Linked DNA regions of Schizosaccharomyces pombe. The protein of the gene in region 1 purifies or fractionates together with the protein of each later gene. This does not show direct contact. Each region holds a gene or a part of one and is shown on either strand. Other genes may lie near its edges.

Region 1 (6,562 bases):
TACTGGATCACTTGCAAAATACCAAAGGATTTGTATTCCGCAATTTACGATCCTTAGTGATTGACGAAGCCGACAGAATTTTGGAGATTGGTTTTGAGGACGAAATGAGACAAATCATGAAAATCCTTCCCTCGGAAAATCGACAAACCCTCCTGTTTTCTGCTACACAGACAACTAAAGTTGAAGATCTTGCTCGTATCTCTCTTAAGCCCGGACCCTTGTATGTTAACGTTGATTCTGGTAAGCCTACCTCTACCGTTGAAGGATTGGAGCAAGGTTATGTTGTAGTTGATTCTGACAAACGGTTTCTTCTTTTATTTTCCTTCTTAAAACGCAATTTGAAGAAAAAAGTTATTGTTTTCATGTCATCTTGTGCTTCTGTCAAATATATGGCAGAATTACTGAACTATATAGATTTACCAGTACTTGATCTTCATGGCAAGCAAAAGCAACAGCGTCGTACAAACACCTTTTTTGAATTCTGCAATGCCGAAAAGGGAATACTACTTTGCACCAATGTTGCTGCACGCGGGTTAGATATTCCAGCCGTTGACTGGATCGTGCAGTACGATCCTCCTGATGACCCCCGAGATTATATTCATCGTGTAGGTCGTACAGCTAGAGGAACAAAGGGAACTGGTAAATCCCTTATGTTCCTCGCTCCTTCTGAGCTCGGTTTCCTTCGTTATTTGAAAACTGCCAAGGTTTCTTTGAATGAGTTTGAATTTCCTGCCAATAAAGTTGCTAATGTTCAATCTCAGCTCGAAAAGCTTGTTTCCAAAAATTATTATTTGCAGCAGTCTGCAAAGGATGGATACCGTTCCTACTTGCAGGCCTATGCCTCATATTCTTTAAAATCTATCTTTGATATTAATAAATTGGATCTCGCAAAAGTTGCTAAATCATTCGGTTTTGCTCATCCTCCAAACGTCAATATCACTATTGGTGCTAGTGGACGAACAGACAAAAAAGAACGACGTGCGGGTTATAATAAGAAGAATCACGTTGATGTTTATTCAAAACAAAGATCATCAGCTATTTCTCAAGACAAAGAGCGTGGATGGAGCCGCTAAACTTCGTTCATATTAGAAGTTGATTTCATTTAAAAGGTTTATTTAATTCGGTTTTTCTGGCTTTTACAAATGACTTGGATTTTGAATGGTTGAAGGGAATTTTTTTTTCCTTTCATCCTTTTAATATTGGTAAATAGGGTTGTTTTCGCTCAAAAGGTTTACGTGTTTGAAATAATGGATTTCATAATTTTTATTGTAAATACCCGTGTAAGTTATTCAAAGGGAGTTTGATATCGGCTATAAATAAAGCCAAAACTAATCATTGCAACGAATGGTCGTGATCGTAACAACAACGTCTGTCTTGTATATCAAGGACTGTGGTATTTTGTAACAACAATTCAGATTAGCAGCATTGCATATTAGCTCTTGCAAAGCACTTTATTTTTATGCTTATATGTACGATTGAATATTTGTTAGAACTACAAAGCACGTTGCGTTGTCTTATAACATACTAGTGAATTTTAATGTGCTCCTTAAATGTTTTATGATGCTGCATTAACTTTTATTAAAATATCACCATCTAAAGCAAGCGCATCTTCAAGTATTGTATTTCTCTGCCACAATTGACCGCAAACCTTCGAGAAGCCGTTCCTTCGTCCACTATAGAAATAGGAATGAGTGAAAACGAAGTTGTCGGGTCACCAACCACCAATGGTGATAAAAATGAGGATGGTTATCCAGCTGAAAATGGAGAAGGCACAAATGTGGATGACAACAACAATGAAGAGGAAAAGGATGGAATTCCTTTAGATAATGACAATGATGAGAATGACTCTTCTGAAGAATCTGCAACTGATGAAGAAGCTGAGCGACAAGTTAGAGAGGGTTTCATCGTCGAAGATGAAGAAGACGAAGTTCCTCAGGAAATTCGGCGCAAAAAGAAACGTAAGAAGCATGCCGAAAGTACTGCTGATCAAGATATGCTTGATGAGGAAGATCTGGAACTTGTCATGGAGAATACAGGCCAAGGCTCTCGTTTTTCTAAGTTGAGACGTTTAAAACGTGGAAGAGATCAAGAAGAGACTCTTGAAAACATATTTTCTGAGGAAGAAGAAGAAGAAGAAAACGAAGTCGATGATGAAGCTCCTAATCGCACGCAAGGCCACCGCGCTGGCGTTATCGACGAATTTGCAGATTTCATTGAACAAGACGAATTTGAAGACGAAGAGCGTCAAGAAGAAAAATATGAGACTGGTCCGCCCATAGAATCAGTACGACCTGAGGCTTTAGGAATATCGGATGATGATTATATACAAATATACGAAGTCTTTGGCGATGGAACAGATTACGCATTTGCCCTTGAAGATGAAGATGCTGAAGACGAGTTAGAAGAGTCTGTCAGTTTGAAGACCATTTTTGAGCCCAGTGAACTAAAAGATAAAATGCTTACCGAGGAGGATGAGATCATAAGAATCACGGATGAACCTGAACGTATGCAACTTTATATGAAGAGGAACATTGATTGCTCTGAAGATGAATTTAGGGAACAAGTTGCTTGGATTATCGATTATCTCTTAAAAAATAGGCGTGATATTGATGCTGAACTATATGAGCCGTTTCAAACTGCTGTTCGCTATGTAGTTCACTTCTTTATTCGTGATAGTCTTGAAGTACCCTTCATATGGCAGCACCGTCGTGATTATATAGTGCATAACAATCGTGAGAGGAACACAATTACTCCTTTATTAAGTCAAAATGATTTGTGGAATATTTTTTTCCTTTGCACCAAGTTTTGGTCACTTCATTCTAAGAAGCAAGATATCCTAAAATTGTACTCTGATTTGGGAATTAATGATGATTTAGTAGTTCCCTTCTGTGAAGCTGCTTCCTCTCTTGATGCAATTGATGACCTTAATGATTACATACATTTCACTTATTCTGAACAAATCCGTGATCGTGCCTTACTGATGGGTACTGGTCTTCGTCGTCCACAAGGTTCGAAGTATTCTTTTTTTGAAAAATTTAGAAAATCATCACTTTACAATCTCGTCAAAGAATTTGGTATGAGTGCTAAAGACTTTTCGTTCAACGTAGCACAGGGTGCTCGTCTCCGTTTTGTGGAAGACAACACCCTTTCGCCTGAAGAACTAAGTCGTACTTATGTGACAAATGAGCTGTCATCACCTGAGCAGGTACTTCAAAAGGCACGTAGAGTTTTAGCAGAGGAAATTATTCATGATCCTCAATTTCGAAAGTCTTTCCGTGACAAATTGTACAATGCTGGAGTCGTTACTGTTTTGGCCACTCAAAAAGGTGTCCGTAAAATAGGTAGTGAGCATCCTTATTATGAATTTAAGTATTTAAAACGGAAACCCTTGGGCTCGTTTGAGTTAGAGCCAATCCTATTTTTAAAAATGTTAAAGGCCGAAGAAGAGGGCTTAATTCAACTATCGATTGAATTTGAAGATCCTGATGATGTTTTTAAAGGTTTACTCGAGCTTTTTGTTTCAGATAATTTTTCTGAGAACGCAATGCAATGGAATGCTCAGAGAGAATTGGTATTAAAAGAAGTATTTAAAAGGTTTTCTGCATTAGCACCCGATGCCATACGTGAAACTTTACGTTCTCGATACCTGGACGAACTTGGAATGCGCTGCCGAAATCAATTGTTTTCAAGACTTGATCAAGCTCCCTATGAGCCCTCAACTAAAAATTTCGATCGTGGCACTATTCCATCAGTCCTTGCCGTCTCCAATGGAAAAGGTGAATCGTCTGATGCCATTATCTGCGTATTTGTTGATGATGTGGGTGAGCCTACTGATTCATTAAAACTTGCCGATCTACGAGATCTTGCTAATCAAGCAATGTTTGCTGAATTTGTCGAAAAAGTTAAGCCAGATGTTATAGGTGTTTCGGGAATGAGCGTTTCTGCTCATAAAATTCGTCAACACGTTCAAGATTCGTTAACGTCTCACGAACCAGTAGATCTAATCATGGTGAATGATGAGGTCGCTCGTCTATATCAGAATTCTACTCGTGCTGTTGATGAATTTCCTACTCTACCAACTATTTCTTGCTACTGTGTTGCATTGGCTCGGTATGTACAAAACCCTCTGTTTGAGTACGCTGCTATGGGTCGTGATTTGATGTCTTTATCATTTGATCCTTGGCAACATTTGCTTCCCCCTGATGTTCTCTGGAAATACTTGGAAACTGCGTTAGTCGATATATCTTCTTTGGTGGGTATTGACATTAACGAAGCAGTGACTAACAAATATGAAGCTAATATACTTCCCTACATAGCGGGATTAGGTCCTCGCAAAGCAGATTATGTTTTAAAGAAAATCGCTGCTACCGGTGGACGTATTGATAATCGTAGTGATTTAATTTCAAAACAAATAATGTCGAGAAAAGTTTTCATTAATTGCTCTTCTTTCTTCATTATTCCTAATGATGAGTATCCCAATATGGATATTTTAGATTCTACAAGGATACATAATGAAGACTACGAGTTAGCTAGAAAAATGGCAAGTGATGCACTAGAACTTGACGAGGAAGATATTGAAGAGCTTGAAACCAATCGAGGGGTGGTTTACCACCTTTTAGAGGAAAACGAAACAGGAAAACTTGATGAGCTTGTTCTTGAAGAGTATGCTGATCAACTGGAACGTGAATTTCACCAGAAGAAGCGAAACACTCTTGAAAAGATCCGTCTGGAGTTGAAGGATCCTTATGGAGAGCAAAGGAATGTATTCCATAAGCTGACACCTTCGGAAATTTTCCTAATGTTAACCGGAGAAAATCCAGAAGAGTTGCAAGCAGATGCAATTGTACCCGTGAATGTTAGGCGAGTTACTAATAGGTTCGTTGCCGTCAAACTCGATTGTGGAATTGATGGAAATATTAAAGCCGATGAAGTGAGTGACGATTTTATACCCCCTCCCCAATTGCTTCAGGTTGGTCAAACAGTCGAAGGTGTAATTATTTCTTTGGACGAGGCTAATTTTATGGTTGATCTTTCACTTAGAAATAGTGTTTTACAATCGGCAAATTCTAAAAGACAAACTAGCTCTCATCGTACATCTTATTGGGATACTGAGGCTGAAAAGCGGGATACTGAGAGGATGCAGGCCGAAACACAGGCTGAACAACGAGTTGCTCGCGTAATTAAGCACCCGTTATTTAAGGATTTAAATGCCTCTCAAGCCGAAGCATATCTGTCGAAAATGCAAGTTGGCGATCTAGTTATACGTCCATCTTCTAAGGGCTCTGACCATATTGTCGTTACATGGAAAGTCGCTGAAGGCTCCTACCAACATATCGATGTGTTAGAATTGGAAAAAGAAAATGAGTTTACAATTGGTCAGAAATTACTAGTAAAGGGAAGATTTGAAAAAATGACTTATCAATACAGTGATCTCGATGAGCTGATTGTTTTACATATTAAAGCCATTGCTAAAAAAATAGATGAAATGTGTATACATGATAAATTTCGAAAGGGTACACAAGCGGAAACCGAAAAATGGCTTGAGAGTTATTCTGAGGCAAATCCTAAACGATCCTGTTATGCATTTTGCTTTGATCATCAACATCCTGGATACTTTATCTTATGTTTCAAAGCTAGTGTTAATAGTCCTGTAACGGCATGGCCGGTGAAGGTTATTCCAAATGCGTTTTTTTTACAGGGCAACGTTTATGGTGATATGACTGCACTTTGCAATGGTTTCAAATTGCTGTATGCTGCTCGAACTAAAAATTTTAGACGGATGTGAGCATTGATGGTTTAAACGCTTTACTCTTATCTGCAACTACGTGACATTTGTTTTACATAATTAAAGAAAACCACCCTTGGTTTATTTCATTTTCACCGAATTTTTGGCACATTAATATTGAAATATCCCTTTTTATACAGTTGATATCTATATGTTTTTTTTTTTACAATAAATTCTCTTAATACCCTGTATTTTTATGTATATATGTTGTAGTTTTCTTGTTAATAGAGCGCAGCTTGGAAAGTCGCGACGCGTCAAGACGCGTCGCGTTTGTTGATGAATTCTAAGGAGGACTAAGAGATGTATCGCGGCAAAGCAACTACCATTACTCGTTCAATAAGAGCTTTGTGGTGCTTAAATCTATGGCATCTTTAGACGAGAACGCTGATGAGTTGCACAGAATGGATTCTTCTGATGAGGCTTCCATCAATGATGATCAAGAGGATATTTTAGATACGCCTCGCACTAGGGTGAGGAAAATGTTGGCGAGTGTTGATATGCAATTGTCTAGCAATGCTGTATCTGAAGCATCTTTGGATAAAGAGAGTACCGTTGGCAATTTAGAGAATCAGAAAAATCGCTCGTATAGCAGCGAAATCTATCTTCATTCTGATACGAATTTTTTATCTAATTTTGACTCTGCTTATGAACGTGTTAGGCGATTATTAAATCAACAAGGTGGTAAGTCTTCTCTCCAAAAAAAGGAGGTTGAACAAATTGAAACTCAAGAGGGAGGTGATAATGCGAAGGGAAGTCCATCCTCTGAAAATAAGGATT
Region 2 (3,947 bases), on another chromosome or scaffold:
TACCGTATTCGGATGCGTGAAATTGTTGAAACTTTAGGAAGATTAAGTAACAAACACGACCTTGATTTTAGCATCAAACTTGCCGAGGCGAAAAATCGTCACGTCCGTCTGTCTGAAAGAATTTTACGACTTGCAATTAAAGTACATGTTTTACGACATCGTGGTTATGCACTAAAACCTAATGAAGAAGAGCTACGTAAAAAATTAGATGATTTAACAAAATCGCTAAATAATCCTGAAATTTTTGGTCGGCTCAACGAAATATGGGCAAGAATTACTCTTATTTTTGAAGGAGAAAAGATATCTGAAGATCAGCGAAGTAATTTGGCTAAGGGAGTAGTGGATTGGCGAAAAAATTCTGATCAACTAGAAGTCATTACGGACGTCTTAAGGGATCATCAAGTTGGTCTTTCATATGTGGTAAAACTGATGCAAGAAGATTTAGCGACGTTGAACAAGCAATTAACTGAGCACGTTCCTCAATCACAAAAATAGCGGTAATTCCTACTTCACGTTATTTTCTGTATTTAATTAAATTAGAAACGACCAACATGAAAATCATAGTTAGGTTCCTTTTTTTATTTTTCTGGTAACCGAATTTTTTTTAAGAAATTCATCTAATTGGGAGTCAATTGATTGACAAGTGGTCCAAAAGATATTACTGACTTAAAATTACATATAACGGCGCAGCATCGCACAGGAAATCTATGAACTCTCTATACACATTTAGCTACCAGTTCAATCCATGAACGATTTCTATAATAACCATTTTTTAGTGACTTTACATTCAAAATCAAATAATTCAACCCACTCATGTAAAATTTACGACTCGATCAAGAACGGTAAAAATAAATTGTCTGATTATTTACATACAGTCGATCATAAAATTGTATTCGACGTACAATAACCATCCATTTTTATAGCACAAAAGCCAACACTTGGAATAAATGTTTTTATGCTCGCATCTTTTGAAAAAAAGAAATAACAAAAGGAGCTTATATAAAAGTTAGAAAACCAAGTGAAACCATTACAATTAAAAAAGCTTACTTAACAACAAGACAGCGGCAACTGAGGCACCCTTTTTCATTTCCTAATTATCCATTTCGTTAATATGCTATAGATACGAGAGATAATTACATACGCCGACAGCCAAATTATCATACTGCTTGATTTGCTCTTTACTAGGGCGTCCTGCACCAGAAAACATCTTTATAGTACGTTTATTAACGGTTATTCGAGAAAGAGCTTGTGTGTTTGGCAGAAGCTGGAATAAGTTGGAACATTCACCGACACAGAGAATAGCTTGAATGGTACACCTCGCATCGTTAGACATCGTTAATTATATCATGTTGTTTGTCACTATATTGTAAGCTACGCAGTTTGGTATCTGATTTAAGGATACGTAGAGCTGCGGTAAGTTTTCCTTGTGATCTATTATATTACAATACACAGGTTGTATAAGTAGCAACTGGATATAGGTATTGTATTAACTAGGTTATGATGTTACCTATCACTAATATAGCTCATAACTGAACTGAGGAACGAGGTTCAGCAGTAGCTCTATTTATAGTATTCAGATAATATAGATCTTAATAGATTATCATTAAGATCAATCTCCATATCGTATCATACATGGTACGATATATAATTAGAACATGTGACATATAGTGATACGCAAGTAGTGTATCATAGCGTAGTGTAGTATTGCTGACAGTATACATGCATTACCGAAATCTACAGTTTTTGAACAATGGTGGAGGCTACGCTAGTTCTATTTCATTACTTCTACATATTGGCGGCAGTAAACGTTGAAATTTTTTCAGACTCCCAATTCTAATTAAGTTGTCAAATTTCTGATTCTCCAAAGATGTCAGAAGAAGAAAAGGCTGAGCTTGAAAATATGCAAGTTGAATCTGAGGCAAAAACTTCCGAGAATGATCAAACCATTGATACGAAAGTAGACGTTGCTGATGTTACAACTCATGTGGATGAAGATTTAGATAATAAGGAAGAAGCCCTTGATTTCTCTGAAGATGAATTATCGGATTTGGATGAAAATCAATTTGAAAACTTTGACGAATCCAAAATCGGACGTGAAGCTGAGGAACCTACTATTTATAATCTACCTACGTTTAAGAAGAAGCAAGAGCCAAATACGATTGAAGAAAACCTTGAAGTTCCAAGGAAGGTTAGGAAAGAGCAAAAGCCACGTAGACGTCGTGGTAAGCGTTCATCGACTGTTGATGCTCTCAATGATGAATTAAATGAGCTCGGGGAGAATGAAGAAGAAGTTTTGACTGAACAAAAGCAATTGGATCCCACGCTAGCCGCAAAAAAAGAGTTGGATCTTCAAATGGACGCTGTTCTTAAGCCAACTCGAACAAAGAAGCGATCCAATGAAGACAATCTTGAACAGATGGCTGATGATGAAGTCCTTCGTCTACGCGAACAAATGCGCTTGGCTGCACTTCGTGATGCTGAATTGAATTCGGAACAACTACCGGCTACTGAGAAGTTAAAGATGCTTCCACTAGTTGATGCTGTACTTAGAAAGACCCATCTTTACGATACTATACTGGATAATAACGTCCTTGACTCCGTTCGAATGTGGCTTGAACCTTTACCAGATCGTTCGTTACCAGCGTTGAATATCCAACGATCTCTTATGGACATTTTAACAAAATTGCCCATCCAGACAGAACATCTTCGTGAAAGTAAAATAGGTCGTATTGTTTTGTTTTATACTATCTCGAAAAAGCCCGAGCCATTTATTAAGAGAATAGCTGACAACCTTGTTAGCGAATGGAGTCGTCCCATTATAAAGAGAAGTGCTAATTATCGTGATCGTGCTGTTGGTGTAGCCTCCTTTAACCCTGAAGTGTTTCAAACTCGCCGTCGTCGAGACCTTGCTGCTGCTGAAAGTAATGATGATGCCCAAGCTAGCCGTACAGGTCGTACTGTTATTCCCAGATCCATTGATTCAAGATACCAGGTTGCTCCCAGAGTTCGTCTCAATCCTACGGCCATGACTATTGCGGGACGAATGAAGCCGGCTGATACCGAACAAGTGCGAAAATTAAAGGCCAAGATGAAGGCGATTCGTAGTAAATCATCTAAAAAGAGTGGTGTTAGTATTGAAGGTCGTGGACTTTAATCATTAAAACAGGCATCACAATAATATATAATGAGTCCATTGAAAATTTTTCAATGCTCTTTCATTAGGGTCGAATTATTCATTGGGTTAATGTTACAATTTTATTTTTTCACTGTTTGTATGATGAACGCTTGTTTCCGTACCTTCTACTTATGACTTATGAGATTCATTATTAGAATTCACTTAAAAGGGATCCTTATTATTTTTGATTGTATATAATTCTCCATAAATAAAACTCTAATTTTTATCCTCACTCCTTCATTTTAACTATTTCAATTAATTTCAATCTCTACTTTAACATTCTACTTTTTTTGATAATTTTGTATTAGAGATAAACGCTTTTCATGAATGCAACGTTTATTTGTTTGTTCTTGAGTAGTTTTGTACAGTAGTACAATTTACTCAATTTACAAGCGTACTACGTTATTATTCGTAAAGCAAAATCACTGAACTAGATATCCACCTCGCCATACCAAACGAGAACAGGACAGATAAAACTCACGACAAACCTAACCATGGGCGGAGGTAAGTTATCTGAAGTATCATAGAATAAAGCCATCTAATGTCCTTATTTAGCTCGTTTCATTAATTTCATCAAGCCGCTCAGCTCGTTGCTACCTGAGGTCGAAGGACCCAAAACTCATGTACGTATTTCCATTTTGAAAAAGGCTATGGCAGTCCTTTGAACGTTCATCAATACTGATATATCGTAGCTTGAGTTGGTCGAAAAATTAGGCTGGATGGCTGGATGTGTAGTTGTATACCAAATTTTGTCCATCATTCCAGTTTACGG

What was found.
Region 2: the proteins of spt6 (region 1) and iws1 purify together in Schizosaccharomyces pombe (affinity purification with mass spectrometry, with the first as the bait; one study listed by BioGRID). This does not show direct contact.

What each region holds. Positions count from the first base shown.
Region 1 is NC_003424.3:4,211,929-4,218,490, reverse strand, and holds spt6 (transcription elongation factor Spt6), read left to right. Parts: upstream 1-1,629; 5' UTR 1,630-1,687; coding exon 1,688-5,785; 3' UTR 5,786-6,015; downstream 6,016-6,562. Other genes in the region: ATP-dependent RNA helicase Has1, read left to right, coding at 1-1,073; mrc1 (claspin), read left to right, coding at 6,148-6,562. UniProt on the Schizosaccharomyces pombe protein: Histone H3-H4 chaperone that plays a role in maintenance of chromatin structure during RNA polymerase II transcription elongation thereby repressing transcription initiation from cryptic promoters.
Region 2 is NC_003423.3:2,378,796-2,382,742, forward strand, and holds iws1 (transcription elongation factor complex subunit Iws1), read left to right. Parts: upstream 1-1,821; 5' UTR 1,822-1,867; coding exon 1,868-3,154; 3' UTR 3,155-3,447; downstream 3,448-3,947. Other genes in the region: nucleoporin Nup44, read left to right, coding at 1-495; TOM complex subunit Tom5, read right to left, coding at 954-994, 1,048-1,090, 1,142-1,207; sec6102 (translocon subunit Sec61-like protein), read left to right, coding at 3,670-3,679, 3,731-3,798, 3,868-3,947. UniProt on the Schizosaccharomyces pombe protein: Transcription factor involved in RNA polymerase II transcription regulation. May function in both SPT15/TBP post-recruitment and recruitment steps of transcription.